Linked DNA regions of Oryctolagus cuniculus. The protein of the gene in region 2 binds, or shares a complex with, the protein of the main gene of each other region. Links are inferred from orthologs where the notes say so. Each region holds a gene or a part of one and is shown on either strand. Other genes may lie near its edges.

Region 1 (4,714 bases), on a different chromosome or scaffold from region 2:
TAGGAATTACTTGGTCCCTTTAAAGGAACTTGTCACCATCAGTAACACCCCCTCATAAACATTCAAATGCTCAACGTGCAGCTTTACCTGTGTGTTCTTGGTCTCTGATTTAAAGAAGCTGTCCGGCCTGGACTATGCTGACTTCCAAGCCTAGCAGGACTTGTCATGTAGTCATTAGGAACTGTTGGGGGTTTAACAGGTTCCAGGGTTTTATACGGAGTATTCCGTCTAAAGAAGCATAATGAAGAAAGGAAAAATAAATAAAATAGTAAAACAGTATTTTCCCCTCAAATCTGTGATTGTCCCTTTGTGATCAAACATAATATAACATTTATTTAACTGGGGTATACTAATTTTGTTACTTTAACACAAAAACCATAGGAAAGGGAAATTTAAAATTTCAGTCTTTTGAAATGTACATTTATTCCCAGCTCAGTAACCCAAAGGCCCTGTCCTATACATAGGAAGATAAATATCTCCTTTGCAATTTATTCCTACCTCAGTAGGGAACTACATGGAGAAGTACATTCTGATGCTAGATGTAATGTGACTAATTGTCAGTAGATGATTTTTATTTTTGTTTGGTAACCTCATATTTTTTTAGGGGCAGAGGGCTTAAAGAATGAAAATGGAAACCAAATCTTCAAAAAAAAAGTTGTGTTTTATCAACCTCTCTACCAGAAACAAATTTAACATACCATTTCCTCTGTTAAAATGGACAATCTTTCAGAAATATCTTGGCAAATATTCAATGTATTTAGTTATACTGAGACATGGGAAGGAAGAAGTCGTCGGCTGTTACCTTCCCACAGAGCTACTCTATTATAAAGGGACCTATGCCCACCAGCAACAGCACAGTTAGACGTTTTCCAGGCAGACAGTCCCTAAACCTCAGGTGCCAGGCAATACAGGAGACAAGAAAGCTCCAGAGCACTATGGCAAACTATACCACCCAGACCAGCCACAGTTCTGACATGTAGATCCTGCACATACATCTGAAGTCTAGTTACCACATGGAACTGCCCTGAAATAAACTGTCAGGCCTATATTTTTTAAAAAATTAGTAAACAAAAAATAATGATCATTTATATACACATGGAAATATATGTTTAGTATAGCCATCTACAGAGAATATTATAAAGCAAGCAAATTCACTTTGGATTTGGTTCAGGGAAATAAGAAATAAAATGAATCTGTAACAGGTGTATCATACAGAGTATTCGATGGCAAGGATCCATACATTTACTTAAATCACAGAGACATCTTTCCTTTAACAGGAGTTCTTTTGTACAATGTAGCTGAACTCTTACCCCAACGTGCCCCGGCCTGACATGGGAGGACTTGGTGGTTTCTGAGTAGGAGGATTTGTTCTCGACAATGTGCCAGTTCTTGCAGGCTGGTTATTTCCATGCTAAAATATGGAAAGAAGAGCTTTTATTTTTATATCAAATTGTTCTCTTGGTGTTTTAACACCATGTTTTTTTATTTTTTTTTTAATATCAGAATGTAAAGTAAGGATTCCCAGACAGTTTGAATGAAGACTTTGGTACCACATTTTTAAAAGTCAAGGAACCACTTGCACTGTTTTTCTTTTTCTGTGTGTGTGTGCCTTTTATACCAATGTATGGCAAACTACAGATAAGATTACTGATTTTATATATTAATTTATTGTGAAACATGGTCACTGAGCTCATACTTATCTAGATTCAAATATTTCCTACAATATTTGAAATGGGTGCATGAACAGATCTCATCATCAATTTGCCAAAATGCTCACCCAAAAAATTAACTTTATTCTAACAATTCAGTAACAAAGTCACATACGATGTCTGGGAAACCTCCTAAATGTAAGTCAATGAAAGCAAGGCAACTATCAACAAATGAGCAAAGCAATAATGTTAGCAAAATTAATGTTCCTATATAAATGCAAATGTCAATATATCTTTGATATATTAACACAGCCAAGCTAAATGTTGCTGATTTAAACTGAGCTTAAATATATTTAATCTACATAAATCCTACAGGGAAAAGCAGACAGACATAAGAAGAGTTTTCAAATTTTAGTGGCTCTGCAGCCTCTATCAATATAGAGGGAATACTGTGGATCAAACGATAAGTAATGTCTCTTACCTTGGCTTTTAGCCACTTTACGTTGGCAAAAAAAGAGGGGGAAAAAGTAACAATTAATTCTACAAAGTTTATCTAATAGGAAATGTTTACATTTACAGTTATTCAATTCACTTAATTAAGCTTTTTCCTAGCCATATTTCCAATATTTTTTATAGAAAAGTATATCTATTAGCACTGGGACATATTCGTTTGTTTCACGTATTTTTCAAAATAAACATTCATAAGGTAACAACCACTTTATTATTCCAGTCTCATTCAGGCCCAATGATTTCTTAGGTGAGTATCTCATCCTAACTCATTTGAATCACAGAGAAAAATAAATAAATCATGGAAACACAAATACCCTAACATATTAGATGTAAAGCTATTTTAATACATCATTGCACAAGAGCTGTAATTTTATTGTATAATGAATGCCCAAGTATGAGTATTTATTATTTGAGCAGTTGTACAATATTCTACAAGATGATAAAACTGCAAATCTTAAAAGTCAAAGCCACAGGACTTGCTTTGACAGAACAAATACTAAAATTCAAAATCACAGTTGCTTCCAAAGTCAGAAAAGGATATAGCACCTTGGTGCTTAAAAATGAAATTACCGGCCGGCGCCACGGCTCACTTGGCTAATCCTCCGCCTGCAGCGCCAACACCCTGAGTTCTAGTCCCAGTTGGGGCACTGGATTCTGTCCCGGTCACTCCTCTTCCAGTCCAGCTCTCTGCTGTGGCCCGGGAAGGCAGTAGAGGATAGCCCAAGTGCTTGGGCCCTGCACCCACATGGGAGACCAGGAGAAACACCTGGCTCCTGGCTTCGGATCAGCGCAGTGCACCAGCCGAAGTGGCCATTTGGGGTAAACCAACGGAAGGAAGACCTTTCTCTCTGTCTCTCTCTCTCACTGTCTAACTCTGCCTGTCAAAAAAAAAAAAAAAAAAAAAAAAAAAAAAAAAAAATTCATGGACAGCAACAGCTTAGCTGGGTTCTAACAGGATAAAGAGAGTCTAGAAAGCCTTCTCATTTCCAGTGTATGAACTGAAATCCTGAGCAGGTAACACACTAGCAGGAAGTCACTTCAATTTTAAGATTTCTGATAAAGCAGTTTAGGCAAAATTCAAAAGGGAGAAAAAGCTGCTTTGATTTCCTAAGTTACTTCCATGAAAGTTGACTAGCCTACCTATATCAAATAATGTTTACAGTCTTAAGGCATCACCATTTGTACTATGTCACTGAGAAAAACAAGAAAAAAATACTTTTAATACACGTTTTGGGTTTCAAGTTCTTCTTACAATATCTGCCATTTCAGTAAGTATCTATTATTTTTCACATGACCTTAAAGGAAGAAATTCTTTCTTTTAGATACATTCTCATTTACAGAAACAGTGCCAGAAATGTGAGATTTTAAAATGATATATTGTTCACTTTGATCTGAAACTACCTAACCACTACATTTCACATCCCCATTAAGAAAGTAAATTACGACATAAAGACAACCTTCAACCTCTTATGCACCTGGACCTCCTATATTAAGTACATTCATGTATGCAGATGTGTTTGGGAAGTTTGGCAGGAAATAATCTCTTACAGCTCAACATAGTGTAAAACCTTTCCCCAAATATACCAAAAACAAGGCTGTCTTTAATTTTCTGAAGATACCACTTCAGGAGCTGGCACTGCAGTGCAGCAGGTTAAGCTACCACTTGTGATGCTGGCCATATCATAGCAATAGTTCAAGTCCTGGGTGCTCTGCTTCAGTTCTAGCTCCCTGTTCATGCACCTGGAAAAGCAGTGGAAGATGGCTCAAGTGCTTAGGCCCTTTCACCCAGGTAGGAAACCTGGGTGGAGCTGCTAGCTCATGGATTCAGCCTGTTCTACCTCCAGCTGTTGTAGCCATGTGGGGAATTACCAGCAATTCACTCCTTCAAACAAATGAACACATTTTTTTAAAGATTTATTTATTTATTTGAAAGGCAGAGATACATAGATGCAAAGGCTTGGAGAGAGAGAGAGAAAGGGCTTCCATCCACTGGATCACTCCCCAAATGGCAGTCAACAACTGCAGCTGTGCCAATCCAAGGCCAGGAGCCAGGAGCTTCTTTCTGAGTCTCCCACGTGGGTGCAGGGGCCCAAGCATTTGGGCCATTTTCTACTGCTTTCCCAGGCCATAGTAGAGAGCTGGATTGGAAGTAGAGCAGCCAGGATTTAAACTGGCACCTGTTTGGGATGCCAGTGCTGTAGGCAGCAGCTTTACCAGCTACACCACAGCGTCAGCCCCACAAATCTTTTTTTTTTTTTTTAATCATTGCCTTTCCTTAATATTTACATAAATAGGTGAATAATTTTACCATTTGCCTGGAATCTTACGTTGAGAACACAGAATTTTCCTGGATTCCTCCCTATCTTCTATCAAGTACATCACAGTCTTGCACACCACAGGTACTAATATCAGGAAGGCCAATTCCTTGTTTGAAATAATTCCATTAGCTCACGCCACTGTTTAATGAAAGTGAAGCTTAAACTTAACCATCAGAAAGCACCAACAAATCTTTAAGTAGGGACTTCGGCAATCACAAACTGCCAGCTCATCTCTAA
Region 2 (4,714 bases):
CTGGCCTGAAAGAGGGGCAACCGGGACAGAATCCGGCGCCCCAACCGGGACTAGAACCCAGGGTGCCAGTGCTGCAGGTGGAGGATTAGCCTATTGAGCTGTGGCACCGGCCACCTTCCAGCTACTTCTTCCTGTGGCCTCTGATGGTCACTTGCCCAGACAGCAATCCCCACTCCTCCCTTGCCCCCACACCCGCAAGTGCATCTCTCCCTTTGGCACCCAGCTGGGAGCTACCAGTACCATGGCTTCTGGGCATGGATGCCAGGTAAGCCATTTGATGATGGTGAGGGAAGAGAAAATGGCATTGTGGATCCCTTCCTTCGACATACTGCCTGCCCCAGCAGCGACTTCAGTCAGTAAACTGAACGTGTTTAAAGAGGCAACGAGTGTCACTATATCAGTTACTATTAGGTATAACTACATGTAATTTTTAAGAGCTCACGGGAAGGACAGTGGTTTGGAGAAGGTGCGGTTTGTGTTTCCCTTCCCTGAAAAGTCCCCAGTTAGATCATCTGCAGCTCACGATGGGGCCATGGGGGGCGGGACCCAGGACTCCTGCAGCTTTACTGTCATCCTGCCCCGCTTCGTGGTCCAAGACGAGTGTTTGAGCTCCAGCTGTTACTTCTGCACTCCAGTCACCAGGGAAGAAGGAGTGAAGGCAGCCCCTGCTCTTCCTTATAAGTACATTTTAAAGTGCTTTTCAGGGTTTTGCATTGTATCTCCTGGGCCTGCCGCTGGTCATGTGGTCGCAGCTTATGCTGCACGGGAGATGAGGTGTGTTGCTGCTCTACAGGAATTCGGGACTTGTTGCTAAGGAGGAAGGGGGTGAAGTGAGCGTTGGGTAGGTTATCAGACCTGGCCGTGGGCACTCTGCTTCAGTTAATACACCAGGCCTCGAGGCTGTGCGGTCATATCTTTATGGGGCAGTTTCCTGTACCCTTCCTTGGGAGACAGCCCTGGGTGTGCAGAACCCTCACTCTATCCTGCGGGGACCTCACAGACTCAGCGTATGCCTTGCGGTATTCTTGGACCTCACTGTAGGGTCCTTGGGTGGGTGTCAGGGTAGATTACTGCAGATTGGTAGCAGAGCCACGACTGGTGACTTGGGGCCTCACTGGTCCCTAGGGTGACACGCCAGAGACAGGTGTTCTTGTCGGGAGGCATGGTGGCCCAGAGTTTTCCCAGCAAAGAACCCCAGGGTGCCCTGTGGCCTCGTTGCATGGCTTTGGGACATCACTGAGCAGAGCAGCCCTTTGGGCTTCGGGCAGCCACAGGGAGAAAGTGCAGGGGCCTGGTGGGGAGGTCCCTCAGCTGTGGACAGCAGGGTGGTAAGTCCTCCAGAGTTGTATATATCGCATCTGTGTTGGCAAAAGAGTGACCTAGAGTCCAGGTCAGGAGTTGCTTAAGGAGGTGAACTCATAACCAGCTTGCAAGATCCACATTTCTGCAGATAACTGCAAGGGGCGGGGAGGACAGGAATCCTCATTTTCCCAGGCATTTTGGAAAATCAGTACATCGGTGCACGTTGGGATTAATTCTTTCTTATTTTCAAAGGGCTGCTCAGTTTTTACGTAAAATGGCAGATCCACAGTCCATCCAGGAGTCTCAGAATCTGTCCATGTTCCTGGCAAACCACAACAAGATCACGCAAGTAAGGCCTGCCTTCCCACCGCACTGCGCGGGAGCTGTCCCCGGCAGGGCTGGGAGCAGCTGATGGCACGGCTCTCCCGCTCTGTGTTTCAGTCTCTGCAGCAGCAGCTCGAAGTCATTTCTGGCTACGAAGAGCTCTTGGCAGACATCGTGAATCTGTGCGTGGATTACTACGAGAACAGGATGTACTTGACGCCCAGCGAGAAACACATGCTTCTCAAAGTACGTGTGTGGGGCTGGCAGCCCCCAGCAGCGCCGAGGCACCAGCTTCCACAAAGACTACGCTTCCTCCAGAGTCCTTTCTCATGCTGTTGTGGACACGGGCAGCATCCTGGTCCCCCTGCAGGCTCTTGGCATGTCCCATGAGCGTGTCCCAGTGAACTACACGCTGACCTTAGGAAAGGGTTGTCACGGGCCAGGCGGTCCTGGGTCACAGGTTCTTCTACTTGTGCCTTGGTGTCCTCGAGGGATTGATTCTAGGAGCCTCCACCCCGAAGTTCCCCCATCTTCCCACCATTGATAACAAAATTCATGGGCCACAAGTCCCTTATATAAAATGACATAGTATTTTCACAGAACCTATATACATCCTCCCATATACTTTATTTTATTTTAAAGATTTATTTATTTATGTGAACAGCAGAGTTACAAAGAGAGAGGAAGATAATCTGCTGGTTCAGTCCCCAAATGGCCACAAAAGCCAGAGCTGAGCCAGGCTGAAGCCAGGAGCTTCATCAGGGTCTCCCCCATGGATGCAGGGTCATCCTCTGCTGCCTTCCCAGGCAACATTAGCAGGAGGCTGGAGCAGAAGTGTAGCAGCTGGGACTTGAATCAGTGTCCACATGGAATGCTGGCTCTGTAGGTGGTGGCTTCAACCGCTGTGCCACAGCACCAGCCTCCCATATACTTTTTACAGTGTGAATAGTTACTATACTGTGTTCTTCAGGGAAAAATGACAAGAAAAGAAGGCATGTAGCTGTTTAGTAGAGATGTATTTGTTTTTTAATATTTTTAAGCCATGGTTGGTTGAATTCTTGGATGTAGACGCTGTGGCCCTAGATAGCTAGCTGTATATTGTTGTACCTTAATTACAGTGGATTTTGCCTGGTTCACCCTATTTACATTTGTTACGTTTCAAATTGGGGTTTTCAGTTGCATTTCTCATTGGAAAAATGAGAAGTCTGCTCTGCTGTTCCCTCTGCTCCAAGCTGTCCCTCTGCACAGGATGACCCTGGGAAACCTGCTGCTGCGAGTCCCACCCATCCAGCCTCCCACCTTTTCCTGGTGCAGGAAGCCCCGGGAAGTGGTCAGGGCTGCAACAGCGCCACCCATTGGAGTTCGCAGGGATGGCAGAGGTGTTGTATCTGTGCCAGCTGATGCAGGAGCCCTAGTCATGAGCCCCTAAGGAGCAACTGAGATGGGCATTGGCTGGTGCCACATTAAACATTTTCCATACCTATGCATTGAAACTTACTTACATGTAGCCACCTTTTGGACCCGATAGTTCTAGAATATCCTGCTGTACAGGTTAGTCTAGTAGAGGATTTGCTTTTTCAGCTTTTAGCAGCTGGCTTGGAACCTCAACAAACGTTTGTAACATGAAATCATGGGGGGCAATGCATTCGAAGCACCAGAGAAGCAGCCTAAAAATACATCTTTGTGAGACTGCTTTGGGGAACTGTCTGAGGATATAGAATATTCAGTGCAGTCTCTCTCTCTCTCTCCCTCCCTCCCTCCCTCCCTCCCCCCTCCCCCCCTCCCCCCTCCCCCTCCCCCCCACACCCCTGTTCCACCTTCAGTGTGAGCCGAGTTAGCACTGAGTGATGTTGAGTCACAGTGCTTGTCCAGTGTTCTAACCTGTGCACCTGCCACTGCTTATTAACACACTCATAGTGGGAGTGAAATTACTATTGAAAGACCACAAATGATGACAGTAGTTGCGAGCTGTCTCATAAATGTCAGCTTAAACTGTCCAAGTCTAGCACTGCCCTGAGCTTGAAGAGGGTTGGCTCTGGGATGTGTGCCTTGGGAGGAAGCTGAAATAACCAGAAAGGGTCCACATAAAGTGACAGCTTCGTGTGAGGGGAGAGCTATTCATTTCCTAGGAGCTTTTAGGAAAAGCAAGAGTGAATTGTGATGTACATTGTATGGGTAATTATATTTTCGGTCTGAGTGTTTTTGCACCATTTGTGGCTTTTCAGGTCATGGGATTTGGTCTGTACTTGATGGATGGAAGTGTCAGTAACATCTATAAACTAGATGCCAAGAAAAGAATTAACTTGTCCAAAATTGACAAGTACTTCAAGGTAAGTTTTTTTTTTAATATAAATGTTTTTATTGACATATTGTACAGTTTAAACTTTTGCAGAATGAATCCCTGTGCGACCATGATCCAGATCACAGAATATTGAGAAGGCAGGGAGGGCATCTTGGGGTTTCTCCTCCAGTCTGCAAAGGCTTCTTCCTGCATTGTTTTTACCTGGATTGAACTTGTACAAATGGAGTCAGGCTGTTTGTCATCTTATTGCCTCTCCCTGCATTTCCCCCAACTTTTGTTGGTGAGACAGAAACAGTTGTGGGAGTCTGAGGCTGTGGCTGTTACGTGTTCAGTGTGCCGTGGTCTTCTACTTCACCATCAAACGAGCTTACTTGTCCACTCTGTTTCTTGGTTCCTCCTGGTGCAGACAATGCAGCTGATTTGGTGTGGCTGCCATTGGATACAGACTAAGGAGAAGTGACAGGGGTCCTAGGGCACATGTCTTTTCAGTGTCAGTAGCCTAAGGACCTTCGAGGCTTACCTTTTTTTTTTTTTTTTTTTTAAGGTTTATTTTATTTATTTGAAAGGCAGAGTTGAGAGAGAGAGGGGGAGAGGAGGGAGGGAGAGATCTTCCCATCCACTGGTTTACTCCCCCAAATGGCTGCAATGGCAGGGGCTGGGCCAGGCAAAAGCCAGGATGTAGTACCTTCATCGGGGTCTCCTCCATGGGTGCAGGGGTCCAAGTACTTGGACCACCTTCCACTGCCCTCCCAGCTGTGTTAGCAAGGTGCTGGATAGGAAGGGGGG

Evidence for each region. Proteins that work in one complex are often made in the same cells at the same time.
Region 1: CYFIP1 (region 2) and ABI1 share a complex: the UniProt entries of both Homo sapiens proteins name them as parts of the WAVE2 complex. The link is inferred for Oryctolagus cuniculus from reciprocal best matches to the Homo sapiens genes CYFIP1 and ABI1.

What each region holds. Positions count from the first base shown.
Region 1 is NC_091444.1:103,362,060-103,366,773, reverse strand, and holds part of ABI1 (abl interactor 1), read right to left. Parts: intron 2,146-4,714; coding exon 2,131-2,145; intron 1,412-2,130; coding exon 1,311-1,411; intron 229-1,310; coding exon 88-228; intron 1-87. UniProt on the Homo sapiens protein: May act in negative regulation of cell growth and transformation by interacting with nonreceptor tyrosine kinases ABL1 and/or ABL2. May play a role in regulation of EGF-induced Erk pathway activation. Involved in cytoskeletal reorganization and EGFR signaling.
Region 2 is NC_091443.1:17,574,567-17,579,280, reverse strand, and holds part of CYFIP1 (cytoplasmic FMR1-interacting protein 1), read left to right. Parts: intron 1-1,554; coding exon 1,555-1,651; intron 1,652-1,743; coding exon 1,744-1,872; intron 1,873-3,851; coding exon 3,852-3,956; intron 3,957-4,714. UniProt on the Homo sapiens protein: Component of the CYFIP1-EIF4E-FMR1 complex which binds to the mRNA cap and mediates translational repression. In the CYFIP1-EIF4E-FMR1 complex this subunit is an adapter between EIF4E and FMR1.